Linked DNA regions of Oreochromis niloticus. The protein of the gene in region 1 binds, or shares a complex with, the protein of each later gene. Links are inferred from orthologs where the notes say so. Each region holds a gene or a part of one and is shown in the gene's direction. Other genes may lie near its edges.

The links.
Region 2: the proteins of tacr1a (region 1) and tac1 are in contact, whole or in part, in a cryo-EM structure (PDB 7P02), measured with the Homo sapiens proteins. The link is inferred for Oreochromis niloticus from reciprocal best matches to the Homo sapiens genes TACR1 and TAC1. Residues at the interface, in NP_001049.1 of Homo sapiens: Gln24, Phe25, Asn85, Asn89, Tyr92, Ala93, Asn96, Trp98, His108, Asn109, Ile113, Gln165, Met174, Arg177, Val179, Cys180, Met181, Ile182, His197, Val200, Phe264, Phe267, Phe268, Tyr278, Leu279, Ile283, Gln284, Tyr287, Met291; in NP_003173.1 of Homo sapiens: Lys60, Pro61, Gln62, Gln63, Phe64, Phe65, Gly66, Leu67, Met68.

The regions. Positions count from the first base shown.
Region 1 is NC_031977.2:5,949,862-5,957,993, forward strand, and holds the start of tacr1a (tachykinin receptor 1a), read left to right. Parts: upstream 1-5,121; 5' UTR 5,122-5,523; coding exon 5,524-5,927; intron 5,928-8,132. UniProt on the Homo sapiens protein: This is a receptor for the tachykinin neuropeptide substance P. It is probably associated with G proteins that activate a phosphatidylinositol-calcium second messenger system.
Region 2 is NC_031985.2:36,816,437-36,824,051, reverse strand, and holds the start of tac1 (protachykinin-1), read left to right. Parts: upstream 1-4,564; 5' UTR 4,565-4,948; coding exon 4,949-5,065; intron 5,066-5,797; coding exon 5,798-5,900; intron 5,901-5,982; coding exon 5,983-6,006; intron 6,007-7,615. UniProt on the Homo sapiens protein: Tachykinins are active peptides which excite neurons, evoke behavioral responses, are potent vasodilators and secretagogues, and contract (directly or indirectly) many smooth muscles.

The DNA.
Region 1 (8,132 bases):
AAACATTCAAGCATTAGCACATTAATTATAAAAGCTCCAATGAAAACTCAGCAGTAGGACCATGCTGAATATTTTAGGGGAGAAAAACAGAGGGATGTGCCCAGAAAGTAAATATTCATTTTTTATACAATTCCCACAAATCATTTACAGCCTAATTTAATTATATGTAAGATATTTCAGTGCACACACTTTTAATGAATGTAGAGGACTATATATTTATATACATAGAAGTACATTTCCCATCCTGCATGCATGCCTTAGAAGGGAAAGTTATTCAGACTGACCTGGTAATTTCATGGCTAGAGCTGTGCAGTGAAATGTGGATGGAGTTGGAAATGAGTAGGAATATTTAACTGTTGTGCGTGCCAGTCTGTTATCATTCATAGCTGTGGCTTCTTCTCACACCTTTATTCTCCAGGATGGTGCTCTGACTGTTGTGATGAAGTGGACATTTAAGAGGGGATCGAAGCTTCCCTGGAGACAACTGCAATGTCCTTGAGCAGAAGCAAAATCGACACAGTTGGATGCTATCAATAATTTATTTTCGGAGAATATCTTTTTTTTTTTTTTTTAATTAGTATGTTGCTGGTGTCACTGACGAACTTTTGGCCCAGTTTGGCCACAATTCAATGATATTAAAGTCAAAGTAAAAATTGCAGAAAACCAGACAGCTGTCAGGAATGAAACCACTGTCACATTGCACAAAATGGTATGCTTCCCTTGTGTAGTTCCCTGTCCCGCTGGGTGATAACAGACATTTCATTCTGTTTTTAATAGTGGCAAAAAAGAACAACACTGAGATCATGGGCCCAAGCAGTACAGCAATACTAACATGCTTCAAAACAACGATCTTTGTCTACAAGGACAAATACTTCATAAATGCTTGTCCTGTATACTCTGTTACCTTATTGTAAACTATGTCCAGCTGTGCATGTCTTTGCATGTGTGTTTGACATGACATCAAGATTTCATTTCTAAAATAAAACCAATGCATGCTTCAAAGTTATGGTTAAAAACCACCTCCATGCACTTTTTTGGGTGTATTTGTTTGTGACACATAACAAAGTTTTACATTCATTTATTTACCATGGTAATTGCAAAGTGAAAATCTGGTGTCAGTAATTACATCACTGACATTGTCAAGGTTAATGGGGTTTAGGAAGCTATTTAGCATTCTGGGCAACGATCCACCTTAGAAAATGCTGCTTTTAGTACTAAACATCTACTGTTTAAGGTTGAGACTCTTATCTTGCACCAGTGCTCTGTCATACTCATAAAAATATTCATATTTTAATAAATAGGAATAATTCTTTCAGAACACCTTTAACCCAAGCCTTCAAAGGCTCATGTTGTACACTACAGTATTGTAACTCTTCATAAAAGAGAAATAATATTTCAGTATGGAGATTAGGGTGAGGATAATTCAATGCTCTGTTAACTAGGCTCTCTTCATGAACCCTCCAAATGCTTTCAGGTATTTTATTTTTTGATCTTATTGTACTTCCAAAGTTATACAAGTCCATTTTTGTTGTTTTAGAAAACTTTAGCAGAATTTCTGCTTGATAGATCTCAAGCTAGTTTACCACTATTTTTGCCTGAACAGTGTGCTTGATTAACATCTGAAAGATCAAATGACACCTCATGTTTCCTCTTACACCTTCAACAAATTCCTTTTCCTTCTCGTTCCTGTGATGCATTCTGGTCCATGTGTCAAAACTGTGTTTGTGATACTTCAGCAGCTAGCTACTGCTACAAGTGAAGATGAAGGTAAATTGAAATGCATTGAAATGCTCAATAAATATCACACAACAGCTTTTCACATATTGTGTCCTGGTAGGTGGAGAAAGTAAGAAAGCGAGGACAGGAGGGAAAGATGACAGATTATTTTCAAAGGTAAGTGTCGCTCAACAAGTGACTTTCTATAAACTGGAAATTTAAAGATTATTTATAATGTCCTAATTAAGTTTAGAGTTTTTAAATTAGATAACTGGATATATACATGCTGTGTTGCTTAATTGTGTTCTTGAATTACACCAATTTTTGTGTTATTCAGGGGTTGCATGGAAAACTGGGGATATTTAGGGCAGGATAAACTGGTTAAAGTCATATGTCATGTAGACTGAGGAACCAAAATGCAGACTCATGGACAAATGTTAACCGAAAACAAGCTTTTATTTAATATAAATCAAAACTCCAGCAGGAAAAGCGGGAACATGGGGTAAACACTGGGAGCAAGGAAATCTACAGAAGCACTACACACCACAGGATGTAAAGTAACATAAACTGGAACTTTTATTATTGTAGCGTCTTTACAATATAAAGTGTCTTGAGGGAACTGTTGTTGTGATTTGGTGCTATTTAAATGAATTGAGTTGAATTGGAAGCTGGAAACAGGCTGCGGAAAACCGGATGACATGACAAATGGCAAGTAGAGACTCAGACAATTTATACACACAGCAATGAGGCAAGGGGCAAACAGGTGGGAGACAGCAGGACACAGCGGGAACAAATCATGGCTAATGAGACTCAAGAAGTTAAACTCAGCACAAGAGAGCAACAGTGTAATGCCCATGGACACTTTAGAAAGGTCTTCTAGGGCAGAGGTTCCCAAAGTGTGGGGCCCGCCCCCTAGGGGGGGAGGGGGGGCGCGGTATGAAAAGAAAAAAGAGGACAACTTGTTCAGGGGGAATTAACTAATTAAAGACTTTATGAAATATGACCTTTACAACTATCATGGGGCAAAGCCTAAAGGAGTATTTCTGACCTGACACCATTAGAATAAAATACTAATTTCTTTAAAATGTATAGCTAATAAATGACTGAACACAGTCAAAATACAAATAACCCCTTTTTTTCTTAATAAGGCAATAAACAAATGGGCACTAAAAGAGTGGGGCTACATAAGTACCCAGCTGGGTGCTGGGTAGTTAGCATTCACACAGAGTGAGCATTCAAGAAACCAATGAAAGGAGCAGCGGTAATAAAGATAGAAAATACTGGAGTATCAAAGTTGTGAATGCATTCACAAGAATGCAGTATTATTCTGGTAATCACTAAATTTCTATTATAGTAAGACATGGTGGCCTCGAATTTTTGGCTTTAAATAAAGAGATGAGTCTTATCACATTTGGAAGGTACAGACTGTTCATGGAATTCTATTTGATGTCTACAAGACAAGCTCAGAGATAGTCAAGTCATACAAGCATCTTACTGAGTGAATAACTATGTGCTCAAGACTGAAGCAGCTCAGAGGACTCTTTCCTCAGTAAAAAAGCAAACTGAATATAAAGGAAAAGAAAATCCTCTAAAGAATTTAAAGCAGGTGTAAGTACTGTATTATATTATGAATCAAAAAGTGTTAAACTCAATTCAGATCTTATTGTAATGTAAATGTCAGTTATGTAAATGTGGTGAAGACCGTTGAGAGGTCAGTAAGACTAGAGAAACACTGTATAAATGCCAGATAGTTAAAATATTTATCACAGCTACAACATTTTTGGCACTAAAGACTCCCTTATTCCAGTGATAGGAGTTTTGGTTCCTTCTTGTCACACTCTCTAGTCTTTCAGTACCGTAAATAGTTCAATGGCAAGCTGCAAAGAAATCCTCTTAATGAGTTCATTCATTCTCTCACATTACTTTTCCTGACAGACCTAAAGACAGATCTTTCTGGCTAGATATAAAGACAGGACAATGCCCACATCTATCTCATTGTCATTAACATCTTACCATGAAAGCCCTATTGGTATATTATCTTAGCAATATATGTCTGATCATCTCATGATATGATATGATTGTCACGGACCCGGCTCTGGAGGACTCGGGGGTCCGTGAACAGGATGGACCATTATTATTATTATCATCATTATTATTATTATTATTATGGTTATTTGGGGATGTGTGTTTGTCTGCACAATGCTGTGTTATTCTGTGGTCCACTCGTTATATGTATAGGCAGGGTGTGGGTGTATAGGTGTGGCTGTAGGATGGAGGACAGCCACCTGCAGGCCTGATGGGTGTGGCCCTGCTGGAGGACTGGCCACACCTGAAGTCCCTGCCACACACCTGCTGCTGATCTGGGCTCGTCGGGGGAGCTATTTAGGAGAGTGTTGGAGCTCCCACCGGCGCGGGATCATTGAGCTAGACTCCAAGTCAGTGTGTGTAGCATTAGGTAGTACGGATCGTGTGTATGCGCGGGGTCAGTGTTAACGGCCGCTTCTGTTATTGTCCTGCAGGTGGAACGAGGGACCAGAAGGGCAGCACGCACAGGGTGTGCAGAAACACAACTGCCGGGAGCACGAGCACGGACGTCAGAGGGGAACACACACACGGGAGTCTAGGGAGCAAAGGGGGTTTATTGTGCATCTGTTACCTCACTGTAAATAAACGCACTGTTCACACACAGAGCACCGCGACTGGGTCCTCATTCCCCATATCCCCAATGATATGATATGATATGATATGATATGAACATATGTAAGGACTGTACGAAGAACCTTGTGAAAAGAATGGCAGGACTGCAGGTTTTTCATTTATATCCTGTGAAACAATCAATCTTCAATCAAACCTCTCCAGTCCAGAATCCAAGACCACAAGAGGGGGTAGTGAGTGAGAGGAACTAGGTGTTCATTATGGCACCCCATCACTCTACACAACAAGCCACAGTAAGAAAAAAAGGTCATTTTCATAATGTAAACCAGAACCAAGAAGTGACAAATTTAACAGTACTTTAGGTAGTGAGAACGCCATGAGTGTTAAAAGAGACATAAATTGTGCAGTAAGTAATTTTTATGTAATGTGTAAATTTGGGGTCATTTGAAAAGAAGTCAAACAATGTTTCCTTATCTTACATTGTAATTATGAAGTAACATATTTTCACAAGTGGTATTTATCTTTTATTTTCAAATTGCACGAACAATGCCAAAAAAGATTGTATATATTGTTATTATTGTACATAATAACTGAAATTGTCCGTGAAGGAATTATAATAAAATTACATCAGATAAAGTATTTAGGCGTAGTAATCTAGCTGGCATCCCCTTACAGCCTACATGGGTGCACTGAAGAAGTCACCTGAATCCGTAATCATAATTACCGAGCCAGCCTGTTGGACGGGAGCGCAGAAGCTCTCTTCAAAAGCTGGTGTGCAGCCGCTCAGTCGGAGCAGAGGAGCAGCGGGAGGACAGCACACAGACAAGGAGAGAGACACAGACGGAGCTGAGCTGTTAAAATTGCCAGACTCGTTCTGGTGCGCGTAAAAGACGCCTTTCTGTTTTTACGCACAGCAAAAAGGGGGAAACGTGCAAAGATTAATATGGAAGTTTCGACTTCAAATACTTTTTCTGATTCGTTGACTTTATTATTTGTAGGAGAGCGGACTCTCCGCAGACTACAACTGTACACTTAGAAACGAGCGTGAAGCTTTCGGAAACTTTCCAACATTCACTTTGCGTTTGGAATCGTTAACTTAGTCGTGTAATTAATTGGGGTTATTTAGTGACAATTTCGCTTGTAAACAGTAAAATGGATCTTTTATTTAGTACCACCAATGCGCCAAATTGGACCAGCAGCTCCAATGACACCAATAACGGGACCATTTACTGGAACCAGTTTGTGCAGCCGGTCTGGAAAATCGTCCTCTGGGCCATTGCCTACAGCTGTATAGTTATCGTGTCCGTAGTAGGTAACATCACAGTCATCTGGATTATTATGGCGCACAAACGCATGAGGACTGTCACCAATTATTTTCTCCTGAACCTCGCGTTCGCCGAAGCGTCCATGTCTGCATTCAACACGGTGATCAACTTCACCTACGCGGTGCACAACGAGTGGTACTTTGGACTCGACTACTGCCGCTTCCACAACTTCTTTCCGATCGCGGCTGTGTTTGCCAGCATCTATTCAATGACTGCCATCGCTCTGGACAGGTAAGCTTCTGTTTTCACAGCCAGTCTGCTTTCAGAATACACGAGAAATGTACCCCAAATGTTTGGTACTGGAAAACACCCGTAAACACCCGAGACCGTCTAATAAAATCTGGCCATTCACTGTACAGTTTATGTTTCAAAATTCCAAGAAAGTGAAGAGTACATCCATACATATCGATCATTATGAAAACAGACTACTGTTGATTTCTAAGAGCGTATAGGTGTGGTAAAAAAAAAAAAAAAAAAAAAGAAAGAAAGAAAAGAAAAAAGGTGCAAATGCTTTCATATTGTTTTTACTCGTATGGTTAAATATTACGGACTCCGTGCTCTTTGGAAAAATGTTTGAAATTCCATGAGAAACTTCCTTCACTAGTTGGTGTAAAAGTAATACTGACAGTATTTGTTGTCCTTCGCTGCCTCTTTTGTTTGCATATGGCGAAACAATGCGTGACGCACAGGAAGCGCAATAAACAGCCATGGTTAATGGTTTATTGCCTTCTGGATCAAACCCTTATCAAATAAGAAAAAAAGAAAAGCAAAGCTGTTGCTAAACGTTTTGTGCATTCATTTTATGTCTTCATGTATACTCCTGTTACTGAAAATATATCCTCTGGGGGAAAATATTTCTTCATTTCTAAGGCTTTGCTCGCTCTTAATGAGCAACCTTGTGTAGGAACACGTTGCACCAATGGGGCGGCACCATAATAATCCTGAATGAAAATGAATGGATAGAAAGCACTGCTCTATTTGAGTAGGTGTTTGTGTGAGTGATAAATGTGTGTTGTTGTCCTTGTGTGTTGTGTATGTAAATCTGTGAAGTATCTATCTATATTTCCATGTAGGTAATTCTCTCTGTGTGCAGGAAGGAGTGTGTGAAAATATGTGCATTGCCCAGTTTGAAACATGTTTATATGTGTTATCTGTAAGTGTGGGTGGATGTGGGTGGGTGTACATTTGAGACATCCATTTTCTTGCTTAACCACATGAAGCTGTGTTTGCAGCTCTGTATTTTCTGCATCTCAGGACATAATAGCTACTAATTGTCTCACTGTGGAACACCATTAATCTGAACTTTCCAAGATTAAGTGAGAGATTGTTAGAGCTGAACAGAGAGCAAAAGGGAAGCAACCACACATGCTATATTCAGTCTGCTCACTGCAAACATGCTGTTACGAGGAGTTTGCCAATCAGGTGATATAGGAATCTAGCTATCCACACGCATCCACGCAACATAACCATGATTTTAAAATCCTCGTAGAGGAACCTTACCTTTACCTTGAAGGCCCCACATGTATGCAGCTAGGAAAAGATAGTATTTCAAAATATTTCAGAGATGTTGATGATTAAGCTGGAGGTAGACACCCACTGTGACCCATCATTCACAAACAGCACTACCTTCACAGTTAACATTTCATCTCTTAATGACATAGATATAAAATCATTTCTGTCTGTTGATCGTATGTTTGATGAATGTGTTAAACGGGGGAGGTGGAGCAGTGTTGCTGTAGCTGATAAGACGTTTCTTTTCTTATCTCCATCCTTTTCCTCCGTGTTTCTGGGGTGCTCTTGCACTGCACTGCCCACAGATCAGCAGTACAGCTGCGTGCTCAAATCAGTGTGCTGCTCCAATGCTGACTGTATTGAGGTAATTGGGAAAAAAACAAAACAAACTCAGCTGTAGAAAAATCTACTGGGGCTGTATGTGGATTCATTGGGTCCTTTATAAAATGGAGTTTTCAATTTCTTTCGCCCTGGATTTTGGGTAGAGGGAAGTAAGAGAATTTGTCAAAGTAGCAAAACAGTACAAACCTAAAGCCTCTGATTACTGTAGTGGGAAAAAGACTATAACACACAAATGTATTCCTCAGTATTTTGATGATTAAATTTAATCAAAATTCATGGTTAGCACTGTTGCCTCACAGCAAGAAGGTCCTGAGTTCAATTCCACCATCAGGCCAGGGTCTTTCTGTGTGGAATTTGCATGTTCTCTCTGTGTTTGTGTGGGTTCTGTCTGGGTACTCTGGCTTCTTCCCACATTCCAAAGATATGCAGTTAACGGGGATAGGTTAATTGGTAATTCTAAATTGCCCAGAGGTGTGAATGTAAGTGCAAATGGTTGTCTGTCTCTATGTGTTAGACTGGCGACCTACCCAGGGTGCACCCTGCCTCTCTACCTAAGAGAGCTGACCCCGAAAAGGATGAGTT
Region 2 (7,615 bases), on another chromosome or scaffold:
GTAAATACTTAAGTTCAGGGAACATGAGATGTGAAAGTCCAGCCTGAGAGGTACGGTGATCCAAGGTGAATGTGGCAGGAGGGCAGGCAGATGAAGAGCAACGGAAACAGAGCATGAACCAGTGGTGTGAGATTCAGAGGAGTGATGTAATCTCCCAATTCTTTTCATCTTTGGGCTGAAGGAAGGACAATACTCGGTGTGTAAATGCTCAATCAACAATTATTTATTTCCATACAATTTAACACTTATGAGCACAAGCCATGCAGATGGGGAGAGATGCATGAAGAGGGTCACAGCAAATCTAAAACTGGTGGAGGGTTACTCAGCCTCTTATAGCCTCTAGTGGCCCGCACCTAGTCGTAAAAATCTAAACATTCACATTCTTTCTCTCACACGCCGCCTAAGTTATGACCTCGGCTCCTTGTTTTATCTCCTCCTGATGAGATGGGGCAGAAAACCTCTCTGGTATGTTCTGTTCTCTTCTAATCAGACAAATAAGGCCATGACTCTCTGAAAACGGTATTTCTTATAACTCAGCAGTATAATGCATCATAAAACAATATCATTCATTCACTATAAATCAGCAGTCTAATCTAATACAAATCAGTTTAATAAATCTAATAGTTATCACCTCTTCAGGAGAATAAAGCAAACTAAAACTACATAATAATTTCACAATCATTAATCAGGGGTATAACATGGCATAAGATAATATAATAATCTCACAGTGACCAGCAGGTAAGTGAGGTTCTTGCCAGGTTGGAGCAATGGAGATCTGTGAGAAACTAAAATACAAGGAGACACAAGGTAGGCAAAACAGGAACTTAAAATGTGTTGGCCAAAATCTCAACATGGGTTAGCAGACGAACTGGCAAAGACTAGTTGTAAGCACTGGTCTTAAATACTGCCAAATACTTCCATCTCTGGTCAAGACTACCAGCTCATATGACAGAACACTTCCCTCCTGCACCCGGCGATCATCATGGTCACAAGTGGCCTGTTCTCAATATTACATTTTGTGTATGATTCTGTTATTCTGAACATGCAGGGATCCACTCCTGAAAAAAAAGTTTATGATATTAATGTAAGGAACAAGGTTCTTATACTGAGCTACAAAAATGTGAACAACTAAAAATATAAAGTGTGAAACACTGGTGCATAAATTAAAAATTAGGATACATATCTACGTGACTCAGTCAGCTGCCTTCTCAATGTGTAATTTATGTAAATTATAAATTAATACCCATTCTGAACTTATAAAATCTTGCTTCTGACATATGTATACCAACATGCATTTCTTACATATGAAACCAAATTTTACAAATCAAACTAGAACATGCAATTAGAGAAATCGCATTGGGATTGTTGCTACTGGCAGATTCAGTCTGTAGCTTCACTAATGATGTGATGGCTCTGTGCCTCGTAAAGTGGCGGTGATTTTAAAATTGAGTTATGTTTGTGTTACCTAGCGATGAGAACTGTTAAGAATTTAGCGACTCTGTGTTGGAGGTATTTCCACTCTTTGTTGTGATCGATGTTGGGGTCATTACCCAAAAAAGTAACTATTGCACATATTACATTGAACACTTTTCTCAAAAATAATGCAGCACAATGCGTAATTACTCCCAGGATAAAGTAATTCCTTATATTACTCATTAAATTACTTTAATGTGATGCTGTAAAATTACCTAAAAGGCATTGTCTCATAATTTATCCCTGTACTCATGAGGACACACATATGAGCTTTCTCTTGGTATTACACAGGCCCACAGCACAAAGCAAAGATGAAAACTAGCATAAAGAGACTTAACAGTGATTGTTACAGTGATCACTACTTTAGAAACATGAACAGGAAGAAACAGAGGCTGCAGCCTGATTGATCATCTGTTTGTTTTATGTTGAAGTTCAGAGTGTGGCTGCTGGGCTGGGGTTGGCATTCACTCAGCTGTAATGCCACTCTTGATTATCTTAGTATACATGCTGTGTGTTGCAGGTGCTTTCCAAAGAGCTGAAGTTCAGCTACTCGGAGTGGTTGTAATAATTTCTGTCTTTCAAGGTTTGTATTCAAAATGCAGTCACCTCTTTGGTTTTGATTTTTAAATATCATCTGCTGGTCAACTTAATGACTACTGAACCAATGGGGTGTACCACAGTGAGAGGGAAATAGTTCAAGCAATAATAGCTTTAATTTCATAGTGAACTACAAATACATGATTTTTCAACTATAAATAAATGGCATTTTGATATATATGGAGCATATGCTCCATGCCAACTGTGCAGGAGTAAAAAAATATGTATATATAAAAAATAAATACAGGAATAAATAGCAAACAGAATAAATATATACACCATCAAGAGAAATATATCCAATCAAGAGTGATATACACACATTGGGTAGCAAAGTGCTTGGAAGCAGTGCAAAGGGAGTGATTGGGGCCACTTAGTGAGGAGCAGTCAGCACGGGGATCTGAAGGTGGTCCAGTTTGGTGGTGAGGATGTCTTCCTGTTCTTCGCTCAGTGCTTTGTGAAGAGCGGTGGTGATGGCATCCGCCATGGACCAATTTGCTCTGTAAGCAAACTGGTGGGGGGTCAAGGGAGGGGAGTGGCCAGTCTCAGATGTGCTGAGGCACTGCCGGCTCAAAACACTTCATGACTACAGACGTGAGGGCTATAGGTCTGTAGGCATTATGGCTGCCTATACCAGCCTTTTGGGGGATGGGAATGATAGTGGAGGCCTTCAGACAGGTGGGAATCGTTGCCTGAGTCAGGGAGAGGTTGAAAAGCCCGGTGAGGATCCCTGCCAGTTGGTCCGCGCAGGCTTTAGACACAGCCCCTGGGATGTTGTCGGGGACTGGCAGCTCTCCTGGGGTTTGCCACTCTCAGTTTCCCTCTGACCTCATGTTCTTGGAGGGAACATGTTGGAGGGAACAGACCATGTTTAATGACCCAGATGCTTGGAGGGGTTTGTTTCCTGAGGGGGATATATGCAGGCATAAAAAGCAGAATGAGGTGGTCAGATTGTCCCAGGTGGGGGAGGGGTGTCGCTTTGTAGACATGCTGGATGTTGCTGTATACGTGGTTCAGTGTCCTGCCCCCCCTGGTAGGATACATAACATGCTGGGGGAATTTGGGGAGTACAGATTTCAAAAATGCCTTATTAAAGTCTGCAGCAACAATTTGGACACCCTCTGTGTGCTGTCTCTGGTTTTTACTGATAAGAAGTTGAATGTGGTTGAGTGCTGAGCTAACATTAGCACTGGGGGGGATGTAAACAATGGCAACTATGGCTACCGTTAACTCCCGAGGTAGATAGAAGCTTCTGCACTGAATGGACCTGGTGTCTAAGTCCGGTGAGCAGTGACTTTCTATAATTTTGCTGTTATAGCACCAGTCCTGAACCACATAAGCACGCAGCCCAATTCAGACCTGATCCAGCTCTAACTATACGTTTTACCAAAAAGGAAAGTTTAAGCCTAATCTTAAAAGTAGAGGCAACAATACAAAGTGATCAGTGCATTGCAGGAGGACGCAGTGAAAAGGCATAAAAAACCCAAAGAGGTGCACAGTAGTTGGGTGCGCTGTGCTGCTGAATATGTCCGTACACGCTGCCATCTTGCTCATTTTTGCAACTTTTCAAGTGTAAGTCAATGGAATTTCAATACATTTTCCCAGTCAACTATAAATCCACCTAATTTCAATATAATTTCCCAGTCAGCCATAGACGAATGACTTTGAGAGGGGTCCCATGGAACAGTCCAGCTGATAATAGTTTTAATTTCCAGGTCAACTAGGAATCCATTACTTTTCAATGCCTTGGTTGTCGCCTGGTCAACTATAAACAGATCAATAATCATTCAGTTATAACATGAGAACTTTGAATCAATGTTATTCCAGTGTCATTACTGTTACACTGTCAGGTATCATCTGTATTTTAATATGGATTTTAGCATATTTTGGCCATAATGATGATTCAGATGAAAAATCAACATTAACTCAATCTCATCTTGCTATCTGGGAAAGATGAAAACCAGCCCAGAAAGACTTCAAACGATCACCACGGTGATTGTACTGTAGAAATGGAGGATGCAGTCTGTCTGTTCATTCATTTGTTACCTGTTGAAGTTCAGGGTCTGGCAGCTGGGCTTGGGTTGACAAACACTCAGCTTTTACATTACTCCCAGTTCTTGGCTAGCTTAGCGTTAGCATGCTGTCTGTGGAGACGCTTGCAAGTTCTTTTGCATAATGCAGATGCTTTTTGCACTACACTAACGCACTCTCCTCCTTTGGTGCAATAAAACTTCATGAATAAATGATAAATTAAATGTTAAATACAAATGTTCTTAAACTGAGCATTAGGTAGAAATATCCCTATAATACTGGCCTCCATCAAAAGTATTCAAACAATGAAAAAACGTTAAATCAAATGGCCCAGACATGTTGGAGCAACTTTTAAGTTTTGGGCGCTGTGACAACGAAAAGCGGACTTTTTACTGTGACTGAAAGCTGGATAACAGTACTTTATGACGTCACCATCATTCTTCATAATAGTGACGGTGAAGTCCGGTGACGCACAACAGGTTCTGATCACTGCGCTTAACAGGCTGCTTACCGAAACTTCACTCAAGTAATCATAGTACTGTTAAGGCGTTACTTAGCAACACTATTCACACCGGTATATAGGAGCGTACGGATCGGAGACCTTACGAAACAAACAGCTCTAGAAGCTGAGTGCGCAGACAGCGCTGGAGATAGTGCTGTGACACAGGCTACGCGCTATGGACTACTGTTGATTTGTGGAGGAAGAAACAGCGCACACTCCAGCTCCTTCTGGTGCTCACACACCTGTTTCATTCACCTCGCTTTATTTCTGCTGACTGATAACTGTTATCGTGATACATTGGGTATTAGAGTGCTTATTGTTGTAGAGTGAGAGAAAAGCTGCGAGATCATGAAGTCTCTGCTTGTAGCAGTTTTAATGGTTCTCATCGCCGCCGCCCAAGTTTCCGGCGAAGAAAATGACCCAAAAGAGGACACTGATTACTGGACGAGCACTAATCAAATCCAGGTATGTATTCAGAGTTATACTCTCTCCTTAATAATTCATAAATACTACTATTAAAGTAGCTCGTCTTTTAGTCTCCTTCAGTGGATGAAAGCAGAATAAATTTATATACCACCTAACAGGCATAAGGAAATTAGTTTGACTTAAGTTTTTTTTTTTCTTCCTTTTTGTGAGAACAAAGACATCCCCTTACAGACGTATGTTAAACCCCAGCGTCACACTTGTAGGGTTGCATATTTGTATTTTTAAAAAAATATTAAAATTATATGTATACACAAATTTACTGAAAAGGCGTATATAAAGGCTCATATATTAGCTTAATCACACTTTAGGAGCGACTGGATATATCGGCACTTTGTCACAACGGGCATCATCTCTCTGTGCGGGACATTAGTAGCGCAAAGATCCATATTGCCAGTCACACTAATGCATACTGCATGAATATAATCCTGAGATGGAAACAGAAAATCGCAAGAAAAGATCCAAATTCATTCTGCATTACTCGGTGTATTTTATGTGGGTGGACCGGTGGGTGGGACTGTCAGCTAATATTGATTAAGATAAGGTTCTGGCAGAATTCCGCTTTATTCTCTTGTTATAATGACGTGAGCAGGTAGATAAGGTATTAACACAGTTGAGGTATAGTTTGATGACACTAAATTTTTATAAAGATAAGATCCACTCTCACTCCACTCTGCTTCTCAGTGTAAGCATTCCTTCTCCCCCTCCACTCAGAATGGCTGGATTTCCGACGACCCGTTCAGAGAAGCCCTGCTGAGAATGACAAGAAAGCCAAAGCCACATCAGTTTATCGGTCTGATGGGGAGGCGCTCTATGGGTAAGAGCTAATTCTTAATAAAAGTACTTCTCCTATGCACCAGTTATTCTAACCTTTCATTTTTACTTTCATCCTCCCACAGCAAACACACAGATCACCCGCAAAAGTAAGTCCTGAAGTCATTATAGCTATAGCAATTTCCCTGCTCTTTAATTAAAACTCGGAACAAAAAGACCTAACCCCTTTGCCAATAGCTGGAGATGTGTGGCCAGTTACCTCGGACCTTTGACTGGCGCAAGCTGGTTTGTACACTGCTCATTTGTGCACAAATCAGCATGCACAAAGCAAAACTGAATTTTAACATAACAAAATAAAGCTCAGGTAAAAATAAAGCTAAATAAAAAAAATTTAAACGATTTTAAAACAAATCTAAATATCAGTATGTACAGTAGTGGAAATAGGCAAATATGAATATTATTCCCAAATAAAATTGATGAATAGCTACAACCATCTATTACAGTGATAAGTTAACAAGAATTAAATGATCACTTTCAGTTTACCACCATATCACTTATGTGAATTATAAGTAATTCTGTTACAGTATCACTTTTAATTTAATAGAGAATAAATTACTAGTGATAATGTAATAATGCTCCCATGTGGTAAAATGAGACTGCTCTGTGGTGACCAATCAGAGACGTATACATCAGGTGGGATGTATTAGTCATAATGATGAGGGATTTCTTCAGCATTCTCCTCTTAGACACCTCTACCCGAGTCTTCGAGTTTTACTCCCAGAATCAGTCTTCAAGATGAATTTATTCAGTCTGTTGACATTAGCAGCTTTCATCCTGCCGAACACTCCTGCATAGAACACCACACTTGCCACCACAGAGTGATGGCAAGTGATATAAACAGCAAGGCCTTACAAATGTTGAACGACCTGAGCCTTTTAGTTGATACAGGTCGCACAGATTCTGCTCTATATCTCATCCATGAAATAAACCCTTTTAAATGGATGGAAGGGCATTAAAAAAGCATTCAGGACATTAACCCATAAGAGCCCAGATACATTTTTACTGCCGGGAAAACTATGGGAGAGTCAGTGTTTAAACTTTAAAAGGAAAACTTTCCTCAGTGTGTGAAGGGACGAGGTTCTTTAGAATCAGACACACAAGCAAAGGCAAGTGTGCAAGGGTCAGATGGACTTGTGTGCTTTTCTCTAATAATGTGCATTTTGACTGAGATTAAAGGCAAAAAAAAAATACATTGAGTCAATAAATGTACTGAGACAGTGGGTGGAGAGGTGTACACAGCTGTGACAGCTCTACAGATATCAGCTCACTCCACAAAAGTGGAAGGTCTTTGTTCCACAAACAGAGCATGGAGCAGAAAAAGCGTAAATTCAACTTGCCCACAGTGTTTGTGTCTGTGGGCAAGAAATGCAGTATACAAAGATTTTTTTTCCCTAATGTTCTTTGAACTAATTAATTAGTGAGTAAAGAAGGTGGTCCAGGGGAGACGCCTGTGTGAGACAAAGAGGGAAAAGATAAAGAGCAATGAGGAGGAGGGGATTTTCTCTTTCCTCTGTCATGGTTTGCGTTTCATCTGAATTAGTCACCCACTCAGTGATGCACTCAGTGCAGCGCAAGTAAGCAAACAGCTAATTTATTCCTGTAATGCAGGACCCGCTGTAAAACAATCATAAGATAGGGAGCTGAGATACGTGCCCTCAGGACATGTGGCCGTGTAGTTGAATTTTTCATGGTTCAACA